Linked DNA regions of Schizosaccharomyces pombe. The main gene of each other region encodes a partner of the protein of the gene in region 2 in a complex. Each region holds a gene or a part of one and is shown on either strand. Other genes may lie near its edges. A codon is read from its position in the direction of its gene.

The links. Proteins that work in one complex are often made in the same cells at the same time.
Region 1: the proteins of rpc10 (region 2) and rpb2 are in contact, whole or in part, in a crystal structure (PDB 3H0G), measured with the Schizosaccharomyces pombe proteins. Residues at the interface, in NP_595688.1 of Schizosaccharomyces pombe: Met20 (codon at 991), Tyr22 (codon at 985), Asp26 (codon at 973), Ala35 (codon at 893), Lys36 (codon at 890), Ile39 (codon at 881), His46 (codon at 860), Arg47 (codon at 857), Val48 (codon at 854), Met49 (codon at 851), Tyr50 (codon at 848), Lys51 (codon at 845), Met52 (codon at 842), Arg53 (codon at 839), Thr54 (codon at 836), Val58 (codon at 824), Gln59 (codon at 821), Phe60 (codon at 818), Arg63 (codon at 809); in NP_593101.2 of Schizosaccharomyces pombe: Glu91 (codon at 2,148), Glu103 (codon at 2,184), Arg107 (codon at 2,196), Val776 (codon at 4,203), Arg841 (codon at 4,398), Met860 (codon at 4,455), Glu862 (codon at 4,461), Glu883 (codon at 4,524), Asp884 (codon at 4,527), Asp885 (codon at 4,530), Leu887 (codon at 4,536), Ile888 (codon at 4,539), Ala889 (codon at 4,542), Pro890 (codon at 4,545), Gly891 (codon at 4,548), Arg893 (codon at 4,554), Ile937 (codon at 4,686), Asp939 (codon at 4,692), Gln940 (codon at 4,695), Val941 (codon at 4,698), Met942 (codon at 4,701), Val943 (codon at 4,704), Thr944 (codon at 4,707), Thr945 (codon at 4,710), Leu950 (codon at 4,725), Lys951 (codon at 4,728), Arg958 (codon at 4,749).

Annotation. Positions count from the first base shown.
Region 1 is NC_003424.3:848,837-854,885, forward strand, and holds rpb2 (DNA-directed RNA polymerase II complex subunit Rpb2), read left to right. Parts: upstream 1-1,799; 5' UTR 1,800-1,839; coding exon 1,840-1,855; exon of another isoform or gene 1,856-1,893; coding exon 1,894-5,510; 3' UTR 5,511-5,549; downstream 5,550-6,049. Other genes in the region: sst1 (calcium permease), read right to left, coding at 1-140; rps802 (40S ribosomal protein eS8), read left to right, coding at 684-1,286; ferrichrome synthetase Sib1, read right to left, coding at 5,687-6,049. UniProt on the Schizosaccharomyces pombe protein: DNA-dependent RNA polymerase catalyzes the transcription of DNA into RNA using the four ribonucleoside triphosphates as substrates. Second largest component of RNA polymerase II which synthesizes mRNA precursors and many functional non-coding RNAs.
Region 2 is NC_003423.3:1,673,673-1,676,782, reverse strand, and holds rpc10 (DNA-directed RNA polymerase subunit Rpc10), read right to left. Parts: upstream 1,145-3,110; 5' UTR 1,049-1,144; coding exon 973-1,048; exon of another isoform or gene 920-972; coding exon 804-919; 3' UTR 595-803; downstream 1-594. Other genes in the region: ubiquitin hydrolase Ubp11, read left to right, coding at 1-259; pmt1 (DNA methyltransferase), read right to left, coding at 1,681-2,505, 2,550-2,717; ATP-dependent RNA helicase Cdc28, read right to left, coding at 3,034-3,110. UniProt on the Schizosaccharomyces pombe protein: DNA-dependent RNA polymerase catalyzes the transcription of DNA into RNA using the four ribonucleoside triphosphates as substrates.

The DNA of each region.
Region 1 (6,049 bases), on a different chromosome or scaffold from region 2:
GGCATTAAGAAATCGCCGAATCGCAGATTCTGTTCATAAACTGAAGAAGAAGGAGTTTCTTCTGGTCTATCAGCCCGTCGACCCTGGGTAATGGTTTCCGCAGAGCTCTCAGATTGATTTATATCAGCAGGTTGAGACATTGTAGGCGGTAGTAATTGTCACAATGATTACTTTTCCGAATCAAACCCTCGCCAAATATTCTATCCCTTAAAACACCTGTACGTAGCTAAGAGGATTGAGTAAATAGGTATTTATAAAAAATTGTTGAAGGAATAGTGAGAAAGGAAGGCATGATTGGAAAGGTTGCGATCATTTTCTATTACGCATATCATAATCAGAATACCAAATTGAAAAAAAGAACGCCAATTCTACAATATCGAAGTCCTCCCATTAGTTCGTTAATGAGCATACAATGTTTACTTCGTTAAAGATTGTCGGGATGAATTGAGCTTAATCAGAGCCGAGCATCGTTGTACAGTTTACTAAATGTAGAGCTAAGCGATAATACGCTAACTTACGGTATCGGTTTTTGTAAGAATACACCGAATTTCGTTAAGTACAAAGTATTAGTAGTAGTATGAAACAAAAATAACAGTCACAGCCAAACCCAAACAATTTCAGTTACTGTGTTATATACTAGTTCATCGTAACCACAGCAAATCTCTTTCTGCAAAAGGATCAGGATGGGTATTACGAGAGATTCCCGCCACAAGCGCTCTGCTACCGGTGCTAAGCGTGCTCAATACCGTAAGAAGAGAAAATTCGAGTTGGGTCGTCAACCTTCCAACACTCGTATTGGACCTAAGCGTATCCATGAGGTTCGTGTTCGTGGTGGAAACAAGAAGTTCCGTGCTCTTCGTCTTGACTCTGGTAACTTCTCTTGGGGCTCTGAAGGTGTTTCCAAGAAGACTCGTATCATTCAAGTCGCCTACCACCCTTCTAACAACGAGTTGGTTCGTACCAACACTTTGACCAAGTCGGCCATCGTCCAAATTGATGCCGCTCCTTTCCGTGTTTGGTATGAAACTCACTACGGTATTTTGATGGGAAGCAAGGGTAAGAAGGCCACTGCTACACCTACTCCCAAATCCAAGCATGTTCAACGTAAGCATAGCGCTCGTCTTGGCGATTCTAAGGTTGATTCCGCTTTGGAAACTCAGTTTGCTGCTGGCCGTTTGTATGCTGTAGTTTCCTCTCGCCCTGGTCAATCTGGTCGTTGCGACGGCTACATCCTTGAAGGTGAAGAGTTACATTTCTACCTTCGTCGTATGGCTCCTAAGAAATAAGGTTGTTTCTTCAATAAATTAGTTCATAAAGGAAGGAATAAAAGGATTCCGAGATTGTTGTATTTCACCTGTATTGTTGATTATTATCAGTAACCAAGGTCGTTAATTATGTAGAGAAGGTAATTTTTATTATTGGCATTTAGAAAAGTGTCTGCTAAATGTTTAGTAATCTCTCCATTTGTCCCAATCAGTAATTGAAATTCGTTTATGTGCTATTAGATATGATTTCTTTACTAAATCTCATTGAACTACGTTTAGTGAAGCCTTTACCTTTTTAATAAAAATTCACGCTAAGTAGCCTTTTACACATAATGAAAGAGTTGCGAATTGCTTTGAAAGGAAAATGGCCTTTCACGTACCTTAGCTATATTGAATGATTAAAACAAGTAAAAGATATAAAAAAACTGGTTCTTTTTTTGATGCTTAAAGACTTTTTTACTGAACACAAAGTCGAATTGCCACTACGGTACGATATCCTTGTTACGGTAGCCTCAACATTTATTCCTCTTCCTCACCGCCAACATATCCTGTTGCGTGTGCCATTTCAACAACAATGTCTTATGAGGATTGTAAGTTACTAATAAAGTCATTTTTAACACCATAATAGATCAATACAATGAGACATTGACTCAGGAGGATTGTTGGACCGTGATCTCGTCGTTTTTTGAGGAAACGTCGTTAGCTCGGCAACAATTGTTCTCTTTCGATGAGTTTGTTCAAAATACTATGCAAGAAATTGTTGATGATGATTCCACTTTAACTCTAGATCAATATGCACAACACACGGGTGCTCAAGGAGATGTTACACGTCGATACGAAATAAATTTTGGACAGATTTATCTTTCAAGGCCTACAATGACTGAAGCTGATGGTAGTACAACTACTATGTTTCCTCAAGAGGCGAGGCTTCGTAACTTGACTTACTCGTCTCCTTTATACGTTGACATGCGTAAAAAAGTTATGGTTGCTGCCGATTCTAATGTTCCCATCGGCGAAGAGGAGTGGCTTGTTGAAGAAGAGGATGAAGAACCCTCAAAAGTTTTTATTGGAAAGATACCAATCATGCTCCGTTCTACTTTTTGCATTTTAAATGGTGTTAGTGATTCTGAATTGTACGATTTGAATGAGTGCCCTTATGATCAGGGAGGATACTTTATTATCAATGGCTCTGAAAAGGTAATCATTGCTCAAGAGAGATCTGCTGCCAATATTGTACAAGTATTTAAAAAAGCCGCTCCGAGCCCCATCGCTTACGTTGCTGAAATTCGCTCTGCTTTGGAACGAGGTAGTAGGCTTATTTCTTCTATGCAGATTAAGTTAATGGCACGTAATACTGAGAATTCTGGTCAGACAATTAGAGCAACACTTCCATATATCAGGAGTGACATTCCTATCGTCATCGTGTTCCGTGCTCTTGGAGTTGTACCTGATCGTGATATTTTGGAACATATATGCTACGACCCAAATGATTTCCAAATGCTTGAAATGATGAAGCCCTGTATCGAAGAAGCATTTGTGATTCAAGATAAAGATATAGCTTTGGATTACATTGGTAAAAGAGGCAGTACTACTGGTGTTACGCGTGAAAAACGTCTTCGATATGCCCATGACATTTTACAGAAAGAGCTGCTTCCGCATATTACTACAATGGAAGGTTTTGAGACTAGAAAGGCGTTTTTCTTAGGTTACATGATCCATCGTATGCTTTTGTGTGCGTTAGAGCGTCGTGAACCAGATGATCGAGATCATTTCGGGAAAAAGCGTCTTGACCTTGCAGGTCCATTACTTGCATCTCTGTTCCGTATGCTCTTTCGTAAAATGACTCGCGATGTGTATAAGTATATGCAGAAATGCGTTGAAACAAATCGTGAATTCAACCTTACCCTGGCTGTGAAGTCAAACATTATTACCAATGGTTTACGTTATTCATTGGCTACTGGTAATTGGGGAGACCAAAAACGCAGTATGGTTAATCGGGTTGGTGTATCACAAGTTCTTAACCGATATACATTCGCTTCAACTTTATCACATTTAAGACGTACAAATACTCCTATCGGTAGAGACGGAAAATTGGCTAAACCCCGTCAGTTGCACAACACACACTGGGGTATGGTTTGCCCTGCTGAAACACCAGAAGGACAAGCTTGCGGCTTAGTCAAAAATTTGTCTCTAATGAGCTATGTTTCCGTAGGTTCACCCAGTGCTCCAATTATCGAGTTTTTAGAAGAATGGGGTTTAGAAACACTGGAAGATTACAACCCTTCAGCGTCTCCTAATGCAACAAAGGTCTTCGTGAATGGTGTGTGGTTAGGAGTACATCGTGATCCAGCTCATTTAACAGAGACGCTACGCAGCCTTCGTCGTAGATTGGACATATCTGCAGAGGTTAGTATCGTTCGCGATATCCGTGAAAAAGAGCTTCGTCTCTTTACAGATGCAGGTCGTATTTGTAGACCATTATTTATTGTGGATAACAATCCTAATAGTGAAAGAAGAGGAGAGTTATGTATTCGTAAAGAGCATATCCAACAACTAATAGAGGATAAAGACAGATATGACATTGACCCCGAACAACGCTTTGGATGGACCGCTTTAGTATCTAGTGGTCTCATTGAGTATCTAGATGCAGAAGAAGAGGAGACGGTTATGATAGCAATGAGTCCGGAAGATCTTGAAGCATCACGTCAAATGCAAGCTGGGTATGAAGTTAAGGAAGAACTGGATCCTGCACAAAGAGTTAAGCCAGCTCCTAATCCTCATGTGCATGCTTGGACCCATTGTGAAATACATCCTGCGATGATTCTTGGCATCCTTGCTAGTATTATCCCTTTTCCTGATCATAATCAATCACCTCGTAATACTTATCAATCTGCAATGGGTAAACAGGCTATGGGAGTTTATCTTACAAACTACCAAGTACGAATGGATACCATGGCAAATATCCTATACTATCCACAGAAGCCGTTGGCGACTACTCGATCGATGGAGTACCTAAAGTTCCGTGAACTTCCTGCTGGCCAGAATGCTATTGTCGCCATTCTATGTTATAGTGGCTATAACCAAGAAGACTCCATTATTATGAATCAAGCTAGTATTGATCGAGGATTATTCCGCAGTATTTTCTACAGAACGTACACGGACCAAGAAAAGAAAATTGGCATGACTGTTATGGAGGAGTTTGAACGGCCGGTCCGGTCTACAACCCTAAGGATGAAACACGGTACGTACGACAAGCTTGAGGATGATGGTTTAATTGCTCCTGGCACTCGAGTGTCAGGCGAAGATATTATTATTGGTAAAACAGCTCCAATTCCCCTAGATCATGAAGAATTAGGTCAACGTACTCAGTTACATGCAAAGCGTGACGTTTCCACTCCTTTGAGAAGCACTGAAAGCGGTATTGTTGACCAAGTAATGGTCACCACTAACCAAGAAGGCTTAAAATTTGTTAAAGTTAGAATGCGAAGTACTCGTATACCCCAAATTGGTGACAAATTCGCGTCAAGGCATGGTCAAAAAGGTACCATTGGAATGACATATCGTCATGAAGATATGCCATTTTCTGCACAAGGAATTGTTCCTGATATCATCATTAATCCACACGCCATTCCGTCTCGTATGACAGTTGCTCATTTAGTCGAATGTCAACTTAGCAAGGTTTCTGCTTTATCTGGTTTTGAAGGTGATGCCACACCTTTTACAGACGTTACGGTTGAAGCGGTTTCTAAGCTGTTACGTTCACATGGCTTTCAGTCGAGAGGATTTGAAGTTATGTACCATGGTCATACTGGTAGGAAGCTTGTTGCCCAAGTTTTTCTTGGTCCCACATACTATCAGCGTCTAAAGCATTTGGTGGACGATAAAATTCACGCTCGTGCTAGAGGACCTGTGCAAATTTTGACTCGTCAACCCGTTGAAGGCAGATCTAGAGATGGTGGCCTTCGTTTTGGAGAAATGGAACGTGATTGCCAAATTTCTCATGGTTGTAGTAGTGTATTACGAGAACGTTTGTTTGATTGTTCTGATGCGTACCGAGTTATAGTATGCGATATTTGTGGTTTGATAGCGATCGCCAGTTACAAAAAAGACTCATATGAATGCCGATCATGTCAAAATCGTACTCGGTTTAGTCAAGTTTATTTACCGTATGCTGCCAAGCTTTTATTCCAAGAATTGATGTCGATGAATATTGCACCGCGGTTATTTACTAAAAACCATAAGTAGTTTTGCTTATTTGAATAAATTAATACATAAACATAGCATGAACATACAGAAGGATGATCGGTGTGATCTTAAAGAAGCTATCATTTATTTACATAAGCTACTTAAATTGTGTTCTAACAGATATATATATTATTTATATAATAATAATGTAGTTGTTACCTAATTTCGGCTTCAATTTAAAGTTCAATTTCCTTAATAATTGTAACAAAATTGTTTATAAAAACACTGGCTTCTCTTTTGGAAAATATAGACGATTGGCAGAAAAGACCAATTTCGAGGTAACCATCTCGAATTGCCAACTCAAAATCTAACTTGGGTTTGTTTCCAAACAAAATTTCACAACCATCAATGGTGGTTTCAACTTCGTTAATCTTTAGTTCCGCATTGTTGAGTTTCAACGGGTATACGCTGAAAACTTTACTTGGTTCATTGTTATCACCAGTTGACAAGAAATTTACTGCGATATCCATCATGCCATGAACAGGGAGATCCAGCAAAGATATGTATTGTAGGTTTCCCGAAATCTCATTCAAAAAAGA
Region 2 (3,110 bases):
AACCAGAAATAATGTTTCTATCTCATTTCCTAGCAAACTTATCCTAAAAAACAAACATCATTATATTTTACGATCCTTAATCACCCATTCCGGAAGTGTTACTTATGGTCATTATCTTTGCTATAGACTTCAAGATGACATTTGGTGGAAGGCTAATGATTCTTTAATTACTAAATCATCTCTCAATGAAGCTCTCAGTCAAACTCGTTCAGCTTGTCTTTTGTTTTACGAAATGGAATCTCCTCTTGCGCTTGATTAGCGCATATATGCTAGTTAATCGTATACGTTTTTGTACCTTAATAAAAAATTCTTGATATTTCTCCTAATGATTCCGACTGATGTCACCCTTTATAAACTGTTGAAAGCTTCAAATTATAACCTGTTGTTTTGTAGCTAAAGCATTCAATACTAATATTTTGCAAAACTTGTGTATGAAAATATATGTATGTATGTATCCACCGTATCTGTCCATAAAATCGGTTTTCTTGACTTTAAGATTTTCAAGTGGACGATTTTTTATAGGCATGGTTAAAGTACACATGGCACTTTCAAACCGTCGCCAAATGACTTATAATTTACTAAAAAAAATTTTAGATATACTCATCATGTACAATTCACAGTTTTTAATGCATCAAATATCCAAAATGTTATTATTGTCATGGGTTATCCATTTAACCCCAGGACCTTCTAATTTCTCGAATTAAGCATAAGGACCTGCATATTACACCATTTTTAAGCCATTTCTCAAATTTTAAAAGTTATAATTCCGTTTTTCTCTTTTCATAGTCTGAAAACTCTAAAACTTAGCGTGCTTCGAACTGAACCATTCTCTTGGTTCTCATTTTGTACATAACACGATGCCCACACTCTCGACAACGAATAACTTCTTTCGCTTGGATTGTATTACGCGCTCCGCAATCTGATGGTCAGTCTTTTATCATATACTCATTTAATTCTACTCAATGATCATACCCGCACATAAATAAATCATAGTGGCTGGTCTGGGGGGATTGAAAGCGGTACCGCCAGTGGAGGTTGGATGATTCATTTTGTAAACTTTTTTAGTGTATTTGAGTCTAGTTAAATCCTGTGATTTTACTTCCTCACTTGAACTTTCTAATTGTGGTGGTGAGTAGTAGCGCGCAAATTTTTACTACCATACTATTCTCAATATTAACGCTTCAAAAAAAATTGGGAAGCTAATCTTATAATACATTAATGAGTTAAAAGTTCTCATTTAAAGTACTTCAAGTACATTTCCATTTATTGGATATATAAACTTCAAATATAATTTCGTATCTAATTTTGACGTTCTTTTAAATTTAACCTTTATTAAATCTAGCAAAAGAATAAAGGGCTGGATACATAATTTTAAATTTAAATCGATAAATAACTAGATTGTTTAATTTATATTTCATAACAATTATGTGTACGTGTGAGGATAAATACAATAGCTCAAAAATAATGTATTCCCCGAGTTCTCCAATTTTTAGTGTATAAATATACGATTTCTTTGTCTTGAAATTAGTCCTGGTAATTAGTTATATAAAGCATTCAGAAACACTGTATGCATTAAAGGGTAATTCCAATTGAAATAAGTGCCTTTTTTTGCAGAACTTTTATCGAGTAATATTAATTTTCCTTTCATTTTAAAAAAATAGTTTTGACTTCTAACCGCTTTTAGAAATTTAGAGGTTCCAGTAATAGAGAAATCAAGTATGAAACAACTTTAACGTTTATACTATTTCCTAATAAGCGATACATACATTTTTCGGTTACATTAGACTTTGACCATTCGAGGCTTTCCGGGAATCCCATTAACCTGGCGACTTCTCTGGCGGTAAAATACCGAAGTTGTAAAGCCATCCGGTTCCTCTCAAATTGCTCGTGCGTATTTTCATGATCTGACATCTGCAAAATTGAGCCTGCACCTTGTACTAAATGTGTATATCCCCGTGTAAAGCAACAGCAGGAAGAGCTATCTGGCTTAACTATATCAAACTGATGGCCCCATTTATTTAACACAGACTCTAGTACCATATATGAAGACCAATCTCTTTCTATCTCCAAATAATCTCTTATTCTTTTTACTTCGCCTTCTTTTTGCGCTACCTCGCTAAATTGAAAAACATCATCAATACTCCATTCTCCTTTGAAATTGAGCCTAGCCAATCCATACCATCTACTGCGAGAATTAGGAATGTTGAACTGGTTTGGACTCAAAATACCTTCAATTAGGTTGTAACCACAATTCCTCAAAACTTTCCTGCACTCTTCAGCTGCCTTGCTCTCCTCAAAACCCTGAACATTCTCAATTAGAATGTACTCAGGCAAATTATTTACATGAGGAAGCACATTTAAAATATTTAGAAATGCTTGGGAACGAGGATCAAGAATATCTTTACGGTTTCCTATTCTAGTAAAAGGTTGACAACTGGGACTCATAGTCCATAATTTACAGTCAAATGCATCAAAATCCTTGGCCGTTAAAGTTGAAATATCCATCTATAAGTATTAATATAGTTATCGAGTAAATCCTTGAAACATACGTGTTTAGCAAGTTTTCCATGATTGAGGTTATAAATTTCATTTGCCTGTGGGTTGATATCTATTGCACACACAATATCAGCCGGTATATTTGCCAGGTTCAATGCATAGTGCATACCTCCAATACCAGAATATAGCTCCAGGACCCGTAATCTTTTTGTACTAAGCATTGAATGTAACCGAGCATGCAACACTCGGTAATCGTTTAGTGAGGGTTACAAAAGACCTACCTGCATTAGATTTTTTGCTTGGATTTGTTAAGCTTGAAAAGTCATGAGCATTTCGGGCCTTTTCAAAAACGATAAAATGTTTTTTAGTATTAAAAGTAATTAATATACAACATGATGACTTAAACAAAACTGTACGTCTTTTTGAAGCTAACTAAATGAGATCTTTTAAAAGTTTGTCCATTATTGTGAAACATAAATTCATTATGATTATATACAACCAAATCGCCTTTAAAACTAATTTTCCTTTTCCACTCTTTTACCGCTTATGTCGTTTTTGCGTCTTTTGCAATTCTTCTATATTTTCTGGCTTGAAATAATGGGGGCTTATTTCCA